Oryzias latipes: one gene and its partners. The protein of the gene in region 1 purifies or fractionates together with the protein of each later gene. This does not show direct contact. Links are inferred from orthologs where the notes say so. Each region holds a gene or a part of one and is shown on either strand. Other genes may lie near its edges. The genes, in order: mad2l1bp, lbr and mad1l1.

Region 1 (5,635 bases):
CGTTTGGGAAATCCTGAAGGAATCTGGCTACATGCACATTCAGGCCACCAAACCCGACACCGCAGGTGAGAGGCCACGCCCGGAGACCGGGGACAGAGTGCTGGTCACGCTTGTCCTCCGAGATCCCCTCTCAAAACGATTTCATCCTCAGGCTGTGGGGTCAACGACTCTCCTGTCGGGCTGGCGGCCTACATTTTGGAGAAGTTCTCCACCTGGACCGATTACAAAAACAGAGATCTGGCCGACGGGGGACTGGAGAGGTAAAAAAAAAAAATGCTTCCGTTTCTATGGCAACCTCTCCCCATGTTTCACACATACGCCACCTGATTTAACGTTTTATTGACCTTTGACCTCAGGAAGGGGCCACCATCTTGAAATCACCTGACCCCCCCCCCCCCCCCCCCCCAAAAAAAAAAGTCAACAAGAAATCTAAACTCCTGAGGGATTTCTATCCATCACCTCATCAAGCATCGTTGGGAAGCTACTTGTAAATTAATGTTGGATTTTTAGAAGTTTTACATTTTGAATGGGGTTAGTGTGGCCAACTTGCAAAATTGGCGTTCCCGTTGCTTGCACATTTTTTTACTGGAACGTTGTGAAGTTTTAAAATGTGAATCCTCAAGCTGAACAGAGCAATGGCTGTGTCCACATTGGAGGGCTGCGTTCTTTGTGGGCGGCTTACGTCACAGCGACAAGCGCTGTCCGAATTCAGCGACTCCTTCAAATGCAGCCGAGTACGTCCTTCTCTTTCACGATTTTAAGGATTGGTCTGGTGTGTCCTTCTACACTGCATATATCCCAAGATGCATTGCGGCCCAACTTGGACCTGTCCTGACAACAATGGCGGACCGTGAAGCGGGACCCAGAGTTGGAGATAATTACACCTTTTTAATAATTACACCTCCAAGATTAAAAGTTGGATCAAATAAGCAGGGAATTTTTTTAAACTCCATGCCTCCTCTCTTCTCCTCTCCTGTGCGGGACTCACGGTTGCTAGGCGACAGGACATACGACACGAACATATTAGGAAAGTGGGTGGGGTTAACAAAAAACCTGTTAAGGAAATCAAAAAAAGATTGCTTTTTGCAGATTCTTCCAACAATGACAGACAACCAGAATTTCAAGTGGTTGCCATGGAGATAAAACCAATAGAAAAGCTGCAGTTAATTTCTTTTTTTTAATGAATTTGTCGTGTGCTTCTCTAACCAGTGTGGCAAGGGGAGAATTGGGGGGCGGGTTGCAGTAGCTCAGGCTTCACGTGTAAAGGCTCATTTACTGGGGTTAATTTTTCAGTGAACATCCTTTTTTACAGGAAGTACAGCTTGGATGACCTTCTGACCAACGTCATGATCTACTGGACCACCGGCTCAATCGTTTCCTCCATGCGCTTCTACAAGGAGAACTTCAAGAGCGACCCCAACAGCAGAATCGATGGCCTGTATGCAAACACACACACACAAACTTTTACTCTCCAATCCTGACATTCTTTTTCAAAGCTGTTGATCCTCGTTATTCTGTGTTGTAGAACCGGGATTTTCGTGCCCACCGGTGTGGCGGCGTTTCCCAACGAGCTGATGCACTGTCCCAAATCCTGGGCTCAGATCAGATATCGGAACATCCAGTCCTACACGCTCATGCCGAGCGGCGGTCACTTTGCCGCCTTCGAAGAGCCCCAGCTGCTCGCTAAAGACATCATCCAGTTTGTGAAGAAAGTGGAGAAGCTGTAAATGCAGAGCAGGAGTCATGATGCTTTTGGTTTTAATTGTAATTCATCATTCTTCACACAAATATGCTTTAATCTTCTCTGCACCTGGTTCGCTCTCCTTGATGCTAGTTAAAAATCATTTTCAGTGAATAACGGATGTTAACTGTGTCCCGAGATATGAATAACAAAAGCAACGACTTTTGTCAAACCGTTCAAGTCTTGTTCATTAAAATGTATTGCACAAGCGGCGATGTCTGGTGTTTTCTGGAAATACCTGCATATTCTGTTCCCCACACAAAGACAAAACATTCTTTTGTATGCCAAAGGTAAAAATAATAATCAACACACATGCACATGAATGTCATGATCTTAATGCGAAAAAAAACAACCATTTTACTAAAATAAACATCCACTCGTTTATATTCCACACAGACACACATTCTGATGATCCAAATCCCTTTTAGTGTTAGTTGCTGAAGCCCTTAATAGTCACAGGTGCCTGGAACCAAACATAATCCTGCCAGTCGGCCTTTTCCCTCTGCTTCTCACAGACGTTGGGATCTGTGGCCAAAGCGATGATCTGGTTTTTGACCCGGGTGGGAATCTTGAATTGTAATTTGGGGCGAAACCAGTCCACGCCGCAATCCCTGTGAGCCAGGGCTAAAACGGTGGTGGGCATCAAGCGAACGGGTCTGGAGTCGGACAGGAGGTCGGCGACGAAGAGCGTGCGGAAGAGGAGCCTCAGGCAGGAGGACGCTCGCAGACCCTGCTCCCCGCCGACCAGCAGCAGGTCCTCCATGTTGATCTCGTAGAGCTCCTTCGGCAGGACGAGGGAACCGCCCATCATCAGTAAGACGCGCGGGACTCTGCTGAGGGAGAACAGCACTTCCAGCTGGTGGAGCACCTCCTCCAGCTCCTGAAGGGTCTGCTGACACTTGTAATCCACGTCTGCGGAGTGGACCTTCCTTGGTCTCACCACATCTTTATCCTGAAAAGAAACACCACAATTTGAATTTTCTATAAGAGCCACCGACGGCTGGAAATGTGCTTCTCACCTCCACGTCTCGCTGCTGCTGCCGCTTCTGGGAGAACACGAGCTGCTCGTACGTCATGGGGAGCTGCTGCCGCTGGTAGAGAACGCATTTGAGGATCTCGCTGACAAAACGGTAGCTGCCATCTTGGGTCACGGGGCCGGGGAAGATCACGCTCACGCAGCCTTCTTCCTTTGCTCTCCTCACCACCTCAGCATCCCTGTCCTGCGTGTTTGAGTGGCGTTCACTGGCAGACTCCTGACAGGAAGTGGCCTCCTCCTCTTCCTGTTGCTCTTCTGTAAACAGTCCATATCTGTTGCCAACATCACAGTAACCTGGTAGACATATTAACTAATTGACATATAGATTTATGTAAAGAAATCGATGGCTAAAATATAAAGGTTTATTTTAAAGCCAAATTATGCTAATTATTTAGCAGGAAGACCACATAACAGTCAGAATGAGATAAACGTGTTTCCTTTTAAAATTCTTCTAAACTCTTTCGACATTGTTACCTTGATGAATTTCTGTGTTTTCTTTGTCCTCTTCGCGCTGTTCAGAAGAGACATCGGTTCCGTTTGGGACCGTCGCTGACAGCTTCTCGTCAGTCGGTTGAGGAGAGTTTGAATCGTCAGAAAGACATTGTAAACTCAGGTCTAAGTACGTTAAACTCGGTTCTTCTCGTGAACTAATTTCTTTTTCGGAGGGAAAAGACAGTCGCCGCTTCACCCTGCTGTCTTCGCTGTTTGCGGCGGATTGATTTTCGGAGACTTCGGGATCTAGAGTCGTTTTTAGCACCAAACAAGGTTCCGCCATGTTTTTTTGAAAGTCGGCGCCTGCTCGGCTCTACCCAACTGCACCATGGGAAATGGTTGAAGTGGTGCGTTCAAATTTTTCGGAAAAAAATAGTTTAAAATGTTTTCTGTCTTGTTTACAAACGAATAATATAAATAATAATCATCATAGGATTTTGTATTGTATGTTTGACTGGCATACTGTAAGACATTAACTCTAACATGTAAACACATCATACTTTGACCACCAAAACAAAACTACAGAAAAATCATACCATTCAGAACAATATTTTATAAACTAAAGTACCACATATTTTATAACATTTCTTTTGCTAATGACAGATTTTTAAGTCGGGAAATCACACTGCAAATGCCACACTAAACAATGCTCAGTGCACCCCCTAGTGCCTGATTTGTGTAGTGCATCCAGTAAAAGTAGCCTTTCTTCCTCAGGTGTGATAATTAGTCGACGTTCACGTGGAAGAAGATTAATTCATTACCTTGAAGAAAACAGAAAGACAAGGGTGACGACCTGAATGTTTCATTCCTTTGAGTGGTTTTATTTTATCATGTCTTCCGTGCGCGTGGCTGTTCGAGTCCGCCCTTTGAATAAAAGGTAGATTTAAGTTTGCTTAAAAATTGGCACTACTTCTTCTTGCTCATGATGATTATTTGTTTTTTAACATTTTGTTTTTGAATATATATTTTTTGAGCTCTTCTAATGATAACTTTGTCAAAAAAAAGCTTTTTAACCCAACTGTGGTTGTTGTTGATGTTCTTAAAAATGTTTAGTTGATTGTTTTTGGCTTTTTACACAGGGAACAGCAATTATCATCCAAGAAAACGGTTCACATTAGGGGGAACACAATATCCATTCAGAAGGTATGGAATCACAAAATGATGCGAGAACAGTCTGTAGAAGTGAACAAGGTCAACAATGATCTGAGTTTTTGTCTGTTTTTATGTTAGTCTTCACCTGTGCGAGGGGAAAAGGTGAAAGACAGAGAGAAAACATTCTCATTTGACTTTGCTTTTGACTCCATGGACACAGAAAGCTCCACGTTTGCATCCCAGCAGAAGGTACATGTTTATTCTATATGATGGAAGATCTTCTGATCTTTATTTTAATTTTATTTTTTACCAAAGTTTGTGCTTGCAGCATATTTGTTCTTGATGCATTTTGTTTTGCTCAGATTTTCCAGGAATTGGGTTGTGGTGTGTTGAAAGCTGCATTTGAAGGGTTCAACGCCTGCATGTTTGCTTATGGGCAAACAGGCTCAGGGAAATCCCACACTATGATGGGTCTGAAAGTGAGTTTTTCCAGTATTTTCAGTACTTTGTGGCCTGCCCTGTGCAATGTGTTCATGTTTAAATATATATGGTATTAAGCAATAATAAGATGAATGTATATAATTTGAGAACATCAAGTTTTAAATTAAATAATTTAGTTTTTACTTAAAAAAACTAATGAATATTAACAGTTAGTGGGCTTCTTCCTCATGCTTCTTACATCTACTTAATTTCTTGTTCATCCTTTATATTTTTAAAGGGTTTCCCTTTTTATACGTGTTTTTTTGATCCATTATTAGTCAGGGCCTTTTGATGATGTCTGCAGGAAAATGCCATGAGTGTGAGGGCAGTAACCGCTACGAGCACCACAGCGTTTCAGATTTCTGCAGCTTTGCAGAACATCACAGAACCTTTTTAGGCGATGCAGCTTCAATAGACTGGCTTGTCTCTTTTTTACTAATCAGAAAATTTGACGTGCCCACTGAAGCATTTCGCCCTTCACCTTATTCTTCGATGGAAAGTTTTAAAATGTGGGAAGAAGTTTCTGCTTGTCTTTCTGGAAACGTATACAAGGTCATGAGCGGAGCTGCTGTTCAAGCTTCTGGATAATTCTATATGACTCTAAATGCTGACTGTCTTTTGATTTGTGATTTAAAGAAGGCAGCCGGCTCACACTGGAAAATTGCTTTCACGCTTAAGTAACTCCACTTCAGATCAGCCCATTTGTTAATCAGCAGCATTTGCTTGTGTTTCTATAGCAACACTGAAAAAAACCCAAAATATTAACCACTAGTAGACATTTTTTTTAAAGATAT
Region 2 (5,631 bases), on another chromosome or scaffold:
GAAAGAGTAAGACTTGTGGCTTTGGAGAGGGTGGATTTGGAACCAACGAGAAGTAGCTCGGTTTATCACTATTGAGTTTGAGAAGGTTTAAGGTGAACCAGTTTTTGATTTCAGATAGACATGAGTGGAGGGAGGAGGGTGGAAGAGAGGAGTCAGGTTTAGTGGATACATAGAGCTGGGTGTCATCCGCAAAACAGTGAAAATTAACATTAAATTTACGGAAGATATTGCCAAGGGGAAGAAGATAAGTAATGAAAAGAAGGGGACCAAGGACAGAACCTTGGGGGACACCAGAAGAGACAGAGGAAGGCTGAGATTTAAATGATTTAAGCTGGATGAATTGGGTTCGGTCAGAGAGGTAGGATTGAAACCAACGGAGGGGGGTGGAGGTGATGCAGGGGGAGGAGAGCCTTTGGAGGAGGATGGAGTGAGAAATGGTATCAAAGGCTGCACTCAGGTCAAGGAGGATGAGGATGGTGAGGAGCCCAGAATCAGCTGCAATGAAAAGATCATTGGTGATATTCAGGAGAGCAGCCTCAGTGCTGAAACCATACTGAAAAGGTTCCAGAAGATTATTGTTTCAGATGATCATAGAGTTGAGAGGCGACTATTTTCTCTAGAATTTTGGAAATGAAGGGAAGGTTGGAAATTGGACGGAGATTATTGAATAAGTTGGGATCTGAACCGGGTTTTCAGGATGGGTTTAAAAAGTGATGGGACAGTACCAGATGAGAGTGACCAGTGAATAATGGCAGTAATGAGCGGAAGGAGAGATGGGAGGCAGGCTATAACTAAAGATGTTGGGAGGGGATCAAGAGAACAGGTGGTCGGTTTGGATTTAAGGATGACAGAGGAAATGTCCTCGTGGTCAGGCAGGCAGTTGAAAGGAGGAAAACATATGATTGAGGGGAAAAGAGTCAGGGATGGGAGGGAAGAGAGAAGAGCTAAGCTGTTGGTGGATGACATGAATTTTCTGGTCAAAAAATGACATGAGGGAGTTACAGGTTTCAGTGGAAAAGAAATGGGGAGGGAGAGAGTCAGGGGGGTTGAAGATAGTGTTCATCAGGGAAAAGAGAGTTTTTGAGTTGCCTTTGTTTGTGGAGACGAGTTCAGAAAAATAGTTTGTTTTTGTGGTAGAAACCAGGTCCTTATACTGTGTGAGATGTGATTTATAGATTTCTTTGTGAACAGTTAAGCCAGTTCTTTTATAGAGTCGCTCTAGCTGGCGACCTTTGGCTTTCATGTGACGGAGCTCTGGGGTGAACCAGGGGGCAGATTTGGAGAAGGAGACAGGGCGAGCTGGTTAAGAGAATCAGAAAGAAGGTTGTTGTAAGAGGAGACGAGTTCATCAGGGTTTGGTGTGTTAGGGATTGGAATATCACGTATGAGTGAGGAAAGTGCGTTCACATTGATGTTTTTGACATTATGAAAAGAGATGAGGCGGGAGGGTTTAGTGACAGATAAAGTGATGGAGATGTTAAATGATACAAGAAAATGATCAGTTACATGATAGATAGTTTTATTTGTATGTAAGATAATTGTTGCAATTTTTTTATGTTGTTTTCTTCTCTTTCTTTGCACCTATGTGGGACCGTTTGCAATTTCATTGTACTGTTGTACCAAGTGTGACTGTACAATGACAAGTTTTATCTTATCTCATCACATCTCTTAAAAGGTTGTGCAACAAAATATAAAGCTATGGGTACCATCGTTTTTGTCCAGCCCTATTTCATTTGTTTGTTTGTTTTAAATAATTCTGTTAATCAACAACTCAAAAGTAATGGCTAATTTTGATTATTTAATTTTCAATAAATTTTAATTTATTGTTACTTTGGAATGTTTCACGTCATTTCAGTGAACATTGTGGACTTTCTATCTTCAACTGAGGGGGACCAACTATTTGTCCACCACTGTATGTAAACAGACAGATGACACGTGAGAGTACATGTATGAAACTGTAATGGAGAACGGCGTTCTGCGGGGACAGATTCAGCCTTTGCAGACGCCGTCATCACCTACAGTCTCTATTGACATGAGAGCGGACCGCAGTGACTATCCAGCGTCCAGATCACGTGCTTCTGTTTCTGCACGCACTCCAGTATCAGTGATGAAAGTCAGGCAAGGAAAAAATCCCTGAACTTTTCTTTGAGCGATATGGCGGGCACAGAGCGAAATTTTGGAAAAATACGTGGTCTTAGATGCATTCTGGTGCATTCTGGCAGCTAGTTATTCACTTCTTTATCAAGAAACTAAGACTAATTGGAGCATCATGATTTGTCATTCAAACCCCTAGTTTGACTCTCCATTAAGGACTTGCTGGTCCTAAAAAAGAATTTGGAAAATTGCTCAAAGTAACACAATCCTACAATCTACGCTTTTCCTTAAAGCTGCAAAACATACAATTGCTAAAATATAGTAACATCAAAGCCCCAAATGGCAAAAAGAACACCAGTAACTATGATATTCTATGAAAATACCTCAGTTATTTATACATTATTTCTGCTTTAGAAATGACTGATGTACAACATCCACTTGCACTGTTTTCTCAAACTATAATTACATCAAAATATGGGATCTGCTTTAAACTATAATTCTATAACATAATACATCAATTCTTTAACACCAATACTAAGTAATCTGGGAAATATCAAAACAAACATACAAACTAAACTAAACATTGTAAACATTATTTTTTAAGGGAGTGCGGGTCCAAACCATCAAATACTTATAATTAATGTTAACTATACTGAACTAAATCATGGTAATTAGGAAATACAAATAAATTAGATAGAGAAATGTATTCAAAATAAAAACTGAAACTCAAAACTAAAATTGAAATTATTTCAAAATGTGGTTTTGAGATTATTTTACACAAAAAAGTATTTGACCTACACTACCTTAAAAATCTTTTTTTTCCAGCCAAGACCACTTCAATTTGTTTTTTATCGTCTTCTCACAACTGAGGTCGTGACCACGCTCAATAATGACGATGCCTGCCATTATTTTAACACAAATTTGATCGCAAACTCTTCAGATGTGTTTGTGAAAGTTTAGCGTGGGTCCGCCAGTTTTGGTCTCTAGGGAAGCAAGTCACGCTGACCACGTGGTGCAGACAGAGCCAATCAGACCCGTCGACGCATCCGAAAGCAACTAAAACGTCCCGTCATTGGTCAATTAGGCCGGGAAGACGAAAGATGGCCACGACCATAGAGGAAGCGATCTGCGGAGAAATATAGAAAATAAAGCTAAAATTAGCTGATTTCAGACCATTTTCTAATCCGGAAAGCGATTTGTCCGTAGAGATCAGGTCTTTATTTCCCGGAAAGTACGTTCGGTTTGCTCAAAAACCCGGATTTCCGGGAATTCCCGGAAGACTTTCATCACTGCAGTATGCAGACGGTCAAACAAATCAATCTTCACGAACTCCAACCCATCGTACCATCAGATTTCCTCAGCACCGAGTGTTCGGCGAGGGCCTTGACCCCTAACCCCCACGTCCAGATCATCATCTTCTCACCGAGCCAAAGCTCACTCACCTGAGTTTCCCCCCACCGCCAGCTCCTCAGGGGCAGCATGGCCAGAACGCACGTACAGGAAGAGGCCCAGCAGCACGGACAACAGGAAGGAGGCGGCGGCCAGCTGCAGAAAGTGGCTGTGGATGTAGGTGAGGTCAGCGCCCAGGTACACTGCTGCCGCCACCGCTGCAGCTGAGGCGGCGGTGGCGAAGAAGCCTGCAGGACACAGAATCATTCACTGCTCAGGGAGACGGGACCATACATGGAGGTTCTGATGCACCAGGAGGTTCTGATGCGCCAGGAGGTTCTGATGCGCCAGGAGGTTCTGATGCGCCAGGAGGTTCTGATACAGAACCGACAAACCACCCCGTCTGGACCTCTGCCATCGTTGTCCGTCTGAAAACGTTCATGACAGCTGGCCCCGCCCCATAAACTGCAGTCGCTGCCGTCAGACGTACCGTTGGTTCTGTACTTCAGCCTCTGTCCGGACCGCAGCGGCACGCCTTCACTCAGCTGCAGAGACACAAACCGGAGAAAACGCTGGTAAAGTTTCACATCCTCTATGGTCCCAAACCGATTCGAACCCATCAACCACTCACGGAACCAGAGAACCGAGGCAACACCCCGAGTCAGGTGAGACGAGGTAAAACAGGAAGTCGTGGGAGGGTGGGGTGGGGCCTGGGGCCAGATCGGGGGAAACCAAAAAACTCAAGAACTTTGATGAGGAACTCAAGCGGACACAGAAACAAACATCACATCAGGATTGGCCTGAATGCCCTGGACAAAGTTAGAAAAAGTTCTAAAGATTCTGTCTAATGATCCAAATGTGAGGAAAATGAGGCACTGAAGCGGTTCTGTCTGAAAAGCCTCCAGTAAAGCGTGCAGTTCTTTCACTGTTGTCATTCCGTTTTCACACCAACATCAGCTGATCTACAAACTCTAAAGGACATCCCAGAATTTCTTCAACTGCTGACACCACAGAGGAAATCATGTGGATATAGAAAAATAAACTTCCTGGTTGAATGAACGTCAAGATGAAAACAAAAAACAAAAACAGCTGCTACCCTTTTTTTGGTAGCGTTGCAGGTTGCGCTGGGCTCAGGCATATGGCCTGCGTCCAGCTGCAAGACCTCAGTCAACTTCTGGAAATGTTGGAGATGGACTGGAACTAGGGTTGGGCGATGTCCCCTAATTTGGCCGTTGACGATGTTTGCTGTCAACCATCGGGATGGACGATGACATCGTGGGGGGGGGGGGGGGGGGGGGGGTATTTTTACATTTTTCGTTCTTATATAACTGCTATTCGTTATTTTGCTTTTTTCATTTTATTTCCCAACTAATGACTAATCCGCGATGATCCAGTATAAACTGAGGGAAGTGACTTTAACAGAAAAAGTAACAAGCAAGATAGAAAATTAGTGTAGTCGCTCCCGCACTTAATTAGTGAAGTGGACCGGCGGAGCGCAGACTTAAAGCTTTGTGTTTGATGGGAAGGGGGGGGGGGGGGGGGTACATGAGCGGTATGTGTGGGAGATTTTTTTTTTTTTCAAATTTATTTTTTATTGAAAAAGCACAGGATAAATTGTACATTGTTTTGACGTGTCACAATGTTCATGCTTTCTCAGTTTTTTAATTGAAAAACAAAAAAAACAAAATAATAATAAATAAAAAAGGAACATGTGAGGAAGCAGGGAGTTTCAAAACATAAATGATATGACATGATTTCAGATGAAATCTGATCTTACCGACTTATATTCTGTCCATATAGACCAAGTAGGGGGTCTAAGGGCAGGGATGCCAGTATAGCTTAGTCAGTTTGTTAGTTCATTTGAGTATTTTTCTATTGAACTCTTTGTATTCGTGATCCTTTTGATTTCATGTTTTACTTCGAAGCCCATCGAGACGACTGTTGTTGTGATTTTGGGCTATACAAATAAATTGAATTGAATTGAATTGAAGTAGCGTAAAAAGCATCCAGCCGTATTTGTAAAGAGTGTGAGATTCTTTCCATTATGTAAATTCTTTGTACCACATCAATCCAGTCCTCTGTCGTTGGTTGTTCAGGTTTAAGCCATTTTCTGGTTATTGCTTTCTTACTGGCTGTCATGAGAATGTA
Region 3 (5,631 bases), on another chromosome or scaffold:
TTGCAATGCTGGCAAGCCTTCCAATCTGCTTCTACTAGAAAAACATGCAGCGTGTTTTCTTATTGTTTTAGAACATTTTTTTTTAAAATCATTCATTGTCTAAGCCAGTTTTGTCCCTTTAAGGGTCACGGAGCTGCTGGAGCCTATCCTGGCCACTCATGGGAGAGTGCAGGAGACATCCTGGACAGGTCACCAGTCTGTCGAAGGGCCACAAATCCCACACCCAGAAACAATTTAGAGTCACAAATTCACCTATAAGCATGTTTTTGAACGGTGGGAGGAAGCCGAAGTCCTGGAGAAAACCCACGCATGCACGGGGAGAACATGCAAACTCCACACAGAAAGGTCCCCCGTTGGGGTTCTGTCTTCTTGCTGTGAGGCAAGATCGCTAACCACTGCGCCACCATGCAGCCCCAAATGTCTTTAAATTCATCCTCAGCGACATAAACAGTTAAATCTCAAGGGCTTAGTTAAAAAAAATATATATCTTTTTTCTAAAGAAAACTAAAAAAACAAAAAAGATTTTTTTTTCAGTTTATTAAAATTAAACCAATTTTTTTCCACTAATGTGGATTCATGAAATCCAGAATTTAATTTACAGTAAACTGTTTTTATAGAGTTTTTAGGTTTTAGAAATCATACTTATTTTAAAAGTTCCAATGATCAATTACCTAGCTATGTTAAAATTGTTTTTTATTACCAAATAACAATACTTTTAAATGGAAATTTAAAAAAATACATTCATATTGAATTTATTCCTGAATCAAAGTCCTATTAGATGATAATTTAGAATGTAACATTTTACTCCACCCTTCTGCAGTCTGAGCTCTAACCTGAAACCTTCTAAAATCTCTGTCAAACAGAGGAGAAGATAGTCTTCCCTTTCTACGTTGCAGTTCATCGTTCCCGGTTTAGCTTGTTCTTTTAGAGTGATTATGCTACTTTTTTTTTTTTAAACAGCGCACCCTGTTCTGTGTCCTGATTGGCTGGAGACCTTGTCAATCAATCTCCTCCGTGCCGTGTCTCCGGTACAGAAATGCAGAGCTCTTCAGATCTACAGAAATCTTTGATCGCGATCAGATCTTTGTTTGTCTAGACTTGATTTCTATGAAAGTTTGAAATTTAAAACAAGAGAAAAAAGGGTGAAAATGTTCATGCCTGTCTGAGAAAAGGGTATTTAGGCAGTGAGGAGTTTTACTGCCATAACACATCTGTAATCAGACTCAGTGGATTTCACCGATCACGGTTATTTTTAGAACATAACTCCTGCAATACATGATGGAACTCTGTACTGGTGAAAAGGTAACGCAGATATATGAGTAGCTGCAGCAGAAGACATAGACATTTGCTTTTTTCATTATTACTGGATGAGAAACAGACGTGCAGGACACAGCTGCTCAGCTTTAGAGCAACGTGTGAGGCGTGTGAGGAGCTGCAGCCCTCAACAGCTGCAGAAAATGACGGGAGAGGATCCACTATTGTTTTTTTCGTTTTAATGTATCAGCATATTTTTTCCTGACTTTTTGTCACAGAAAGTTTTTCGGTCATTTGTTTTATTTCATAAATAGTGTTATTTATTTAATTATAAGCATATTAGGGCTTTACAATAAAAGAAAGATAAAAGAAGCTTAAAGAAAAAGAGTTGTTGTGGCCCTCACAAGAAAAAGTTTGGGGACTCTGCTCTAGCATCCATGTGGTGTTGGAAGATTTGTTGTTTTTCATTCTTCCTACCATTCAAACACAACATTTCTCTAAGTTTTACACAAGGTACATCAAGCCATTGGTGCAATTGGCTCTAAATTGAGAACAAAAGTTTGAAAATATAATTTGAATCCAGATGTTTTCATCCAGATTCCATGTTATTTCTTTCTCACTCCACGCATCTGCTCCTGGTCTGGCCATTCTACCCAATTTTAGAACCCTATGTGGCCCACGAGTCAAAATAATTGCCCACCCCTGTTCTAAAGTGTCACCATTGAAACAAGACTCAATCCTCTACTGCGTGTTAAATTCAGTGGCTGTCCTGTTCCAATCCAAAGCTCCAATCCTCCTCATATCCAGCATGTGTGAGCTCTGTGCCTGTTGAAATGTTGAATTTTGGTACCTGGGTGACATTACAAACTGACTAAAGAGAGAAAGTGCTCTTTATCTATTTTTACCCCCATGAATCAGAAAGATCGCAGTGCCATCTGGTGGTCATACTGTGCATTTCATTTGACATAAAAAAAAAGGTTTGGTTTCAGGCAGTGACTGACCTTATGTTGAGTCCAGTTGATTGCCCAAGGTTCTCCCAAGCTTGGAGCTTTTCAACCAACCTCTGAAAGGGAAAACAGAATAATAATTAAGCCTAGTTACTGTTGAATTTAGGATTTAATGAGAATTAGGCCTAATAAATAAAAAAAGAATTATTAAAACACAGCAACAACAACAAAAAAGATCTTTACAACATTTTTTTACAGCTCATAACCTTTATTGTCTCTTTCTTGTTTTGTTATTGTCATCCAAAAAAGGATTTCCTTGTTTTAATCTTATCATTAAAGGAGTACTAAATACTTGTAATTATTTTTTTAGCCCAGGCTTTTCGTAGACCAAAATACATTGAAGAGCCATGTAACAAAAGATTGTTACAGTAAAAATACCACAGATGCTAAAATCCAAAAAAACATTTCATGTTTATGAAAAATAAGTCTATGATCAGGGTTCTTACATGTTTCCTCAAGTTAAAATCTAAGACCAATTTCTCAGCCTATTTCCCAGCAAGAAGAATGAAATTTTAGAGCAATAATTTCTTAACCAAACCAAACTACAGTACTTCTGAATGTGAAATAAGAATCAATCCACATTTGCAGCAGTGAAATGATTTTTGTACCACTCCAAGAATTAAATAAACAATAAGTTAAAAAGTAACAAATAAACACCATTCACAAAGTCAACTTCTTAGCCCTGCAGTCTTGGTTGGAATATCTTCATCAACTAAGCCGATTCTGCCAACTTCTCCTTTTGACCTTCCTCAGAGGGTTGGACCCTTGATATTAGGTTAGTCTCCTTGCTTCCTGCCTTTTCCTCAGCCTCCTCCACCTGCCTGTCTGCATCCCTGACCAGACCCTCAGACACCTCTTGCAGGCATCCTCATTTTAGCTTTGGCTCCTCCATTCCCTTCCTCTTAGGAGGTTGGGCTTCTGCCTTTCTAAGTCCAAATGAACTCCATATCTGGTTCTGGCTGCTGCTAAGCTTACCAGTAACCGTTTTAGTGCCCTGGTTAAGGCTAAATTTAACCCCTCAACCTTTTCTAGATGTAATCACACACCTGCCTCTGTGTGACCACAGTGTCCCCCATGCCTGCTTTGTCTGATAGGGCGGAGCCATCTGTTTGTGACTGAGGCGGAGCCAGAATTTTGTGATGGGGCGGAGCATTTAATGTGTGAAGGCGGAGCAAACCTTTTGTGACAGGGGCATAGCAAGCAAAGCGTAACGTAGCCAGCATTTTTGTGGTGTGGGCGGAGCCAACTAATAGTGACAAAGGCAGAGTTTTTCTATTTGCGATGGGGCGGAGCCTGCACGTTTTGACGAAGGTGGAGCCAACTATTTGTGTGGGAGGCGGAGCCAGCCTTTTGTGAGGGAGGCAGAGCTATCGACCTATGACAGCGGCAGAGCGAGCATTTTGTGACAGAGGTGGAGGTAGCATCATGTGACGGCGCGTAGCCTTCAATGTGCAGGAAGCCTTTCGTAACAGGGGCGGAGCCGGCAATGTGTGACATGTGTCACATATTTGTGTGATGTAGCAGATGTTGTTCCTATTATTTACCTTTTCATTATAACTTAATTTTCTTCTTTTTAGTTAAACTGTAGAGCTCTAAAGAACCAAAACCCAGAAGAAGGATCACCGAAGTACCAACAGCTTCATGTGGTTTATGGAGGCTTCCTGCTTTTGTGACAAACTCAAAGGGTTTGAAAGTGTCTGCAGGTCGTCTGCATCCACTGATGCACACAAAAAAATGTTGCTCCTCGTTTCATTTGGGTTCTGAGTTTGTGTTTGGAATGCGGCTCTATCCTTTTCTTGTGCAGACAAAAATAAAAATATGATAAAAAATGTTCGCTATTAGAAAACCTGCTAAAAACAAAAGGTACAATTAACATTAAGGGAAATGAAAACAATCAAAAGCCCAAACTACAAAAGCATAATATAAACTTTCTCCGATATACTGGATTTATCTCCATCACTTACTTTTGATTTGCGGTGGCAAAACTTTGTGTTTGAGCTAAACTGTGCATGTTGTGTTGCATAGTTGTGTCCTTATCGGCACTATTTGTGTTGTTATATCACACCTGTTTTTCAAGTTCCACATTGACGAGCTCTTCTTTGGTTTTCTCCATCCTTTCCAGTTTTTTACGAAGTCCTTCTGCTTCTTCTTTCAACAGGTTGTAATTCTCTCTGCTCTCTCTGACAAAATAGAAACACAGCAGAACCACACAGTCACTCTAAGCTTAGGGTTCAGCAATCATCAATCTGTTACTGGATATTTCAAGAATGAAAAAACTTTTTTATAGATCAAACTGATTTGATAAATGGATAACATTTTTGCTCCTTTTCTTCCACAGCAACTTAGCAGTGTTTTCCACAGTAAACCAAAATGTTAACATAATTAAAAATCTTCAGAAAGGAATCAAGTTTGAAGTTAAAAGAGAGAAATTCAAACAGCTGAAAATCCAGTTTGTTATGTTATTCTATTTACACATCTAACTTAAATATTTTTGGGTGAATTAGCAATATTAAAAACATATTTTAAAAATACTTATTAATGAAACTATGTTGACAGAATCCACAAATAAGTGAATTCGGAAAAGCATCTGTAATCTGCCCAGCAACATGCAAACACAAAGACATGATAGCGGTAAATCAGCAGATTGTTGTTCTCCCTTCATAATGGTATTTGGTGGAATTTTCTGATAAAATAAAGTTAGATGAAAATATTAACAAAAACAAAAAAAAAACTAAAACTGATTATTAAAATCCAGTCAATGAAAACTAGATTTTCTCACATCAGTTATCATGGCAATTGACAGTCAGCATTGTCATTAGCTTCTGTGACTGTTGCAGCCATTTTCACACTGAAACATTGTGTTGACACTTCCACAGGAGAATGGCATTCATTGTAGAAACTGGTTATTTTAGCTGCGATATCCAAGCTTAAAATAAAAGCTGAATCTTTTTGTCCTGCTGAGAAATAATCCCAAACCAAAAAACCCAGGGGAATTATTGTTTGTTGAGAGGTTGTCTTCATTATTATTCATTAGTAATCCAGGCTCATGTCTATTTTGTTAATTTTTTTTTCATAAAACATTGCTATATCTGCAAAAAAAGAAAAGAAAAAAGAGCACAATAAAATAAAATAAAGAAATGATGAATTAAACATCTACAAATCATAAGCGTATAAATTTTTCCACCTCAGAAAAGAATTTTCTTCTCGAAGGCGCTTCAACTCTTTTTCCAGATCTGTAACTTTCGCCGCCTCCGACTTGATAGTCTTCACGATTGCCATGTCTTGTTCCTGCAGAATAAGACGCCTCTCCAGCTCCTGTAAGATCAGACGGAGGGAAATCCAAAAAGAAAAGCTCCTTTAACCTTCTACC

What was found.
Region 2: the proteins of mad2l1bp (region 1) and lbr purify together in Homo sapiens (co-immunoprecipitation; 3 studies listed by BioGRID and IntAct, counting the BioPlex papers as one, with this or other methods). This does not show direct contact. The link is inferred for Oryzias latipes from reciprocal best matches to the Homo sapiens genes MAD2L1BP and LBR.
Region 3: the proteins of mad2l1bp (region 1) and mad1l1 purify together in Homo sapiens (co-immunoprecipitation; 4 studies listed by BioGRID and IntAct, with this or other methods). This does not show direct contact. The link is inferred for Oryzias latipes from reciprocal best matches to the Homo sapiens genes MAD2L1BP and MAD1L1.

What each region holds. Positions count from the first base shown.
Region 1 is NC_019873.2:27,030,728-27,036,362, forward strand, and holds mad2l1bp (MAD2L1-binding protein), read right to left. Parts: upstream 3,601-5,635; 5' UTR 3,553-3,600; coding exon 3,252-3,552; intron 3,033-3,251; coding exon 2,761-3,032; intron 2,694-2,760; coding exon 2,172-2,693; 3' UTR 1,742-2,171; downstream 1-1,741. Other genes in the region: epoxide hydrolase 1, read left to right, coding at 1-65, 152-260, 1,313-1,438, 1,526-1,727; uncharacterized protein LOC101165914, read left to right, coding at 4,067-4,146, 4,349-4,412, 4,500-4,610, 4,724-4,840. UniProt on the Homo sapiens protein: May function to silence the spindle checkpoint and allow mitosis to proceed through anaphase by binding MAD2L1 after it has become dissociated from the MAD2L1-CDC20 complex.
Region 2 is NC_019882.2:329,310-334,940, forward strand, and holds part of lbr (lamin-B receptor), read right to left. Parts: intron 4,029-5,631; coding exon 3,974-4,028; intron 3,732-3,973; coding exon 3,537-3,731; intron 1-3,536. UniProt on the Homo sapiens protein: Catalyzes the reduction of the C14-unsaturated bond of lanosterol, as part of the metabolic pathway leading to cholesterol biosynthesis.
Region 3 is NC_019859.2:22,958,876-22,964,506, reverse strand, and holds part of mad1l1 (mitotic spindle assembly checkpoint protein MAD1), read right to left. Parts: intron 5,577-5,631; coding exon 5,446-5,576; intron 4,442-5,445; coding exon 4,327-4,441; intron 2,318-4,326; coding exon 2,256-2,317; intron 1-2,255. UniProt on the Homo sapiens protein: Component of the spindle-assembly checkpoint that prevents the onset of anaphase until all chromosomes are properly aligned at the metaphase plate.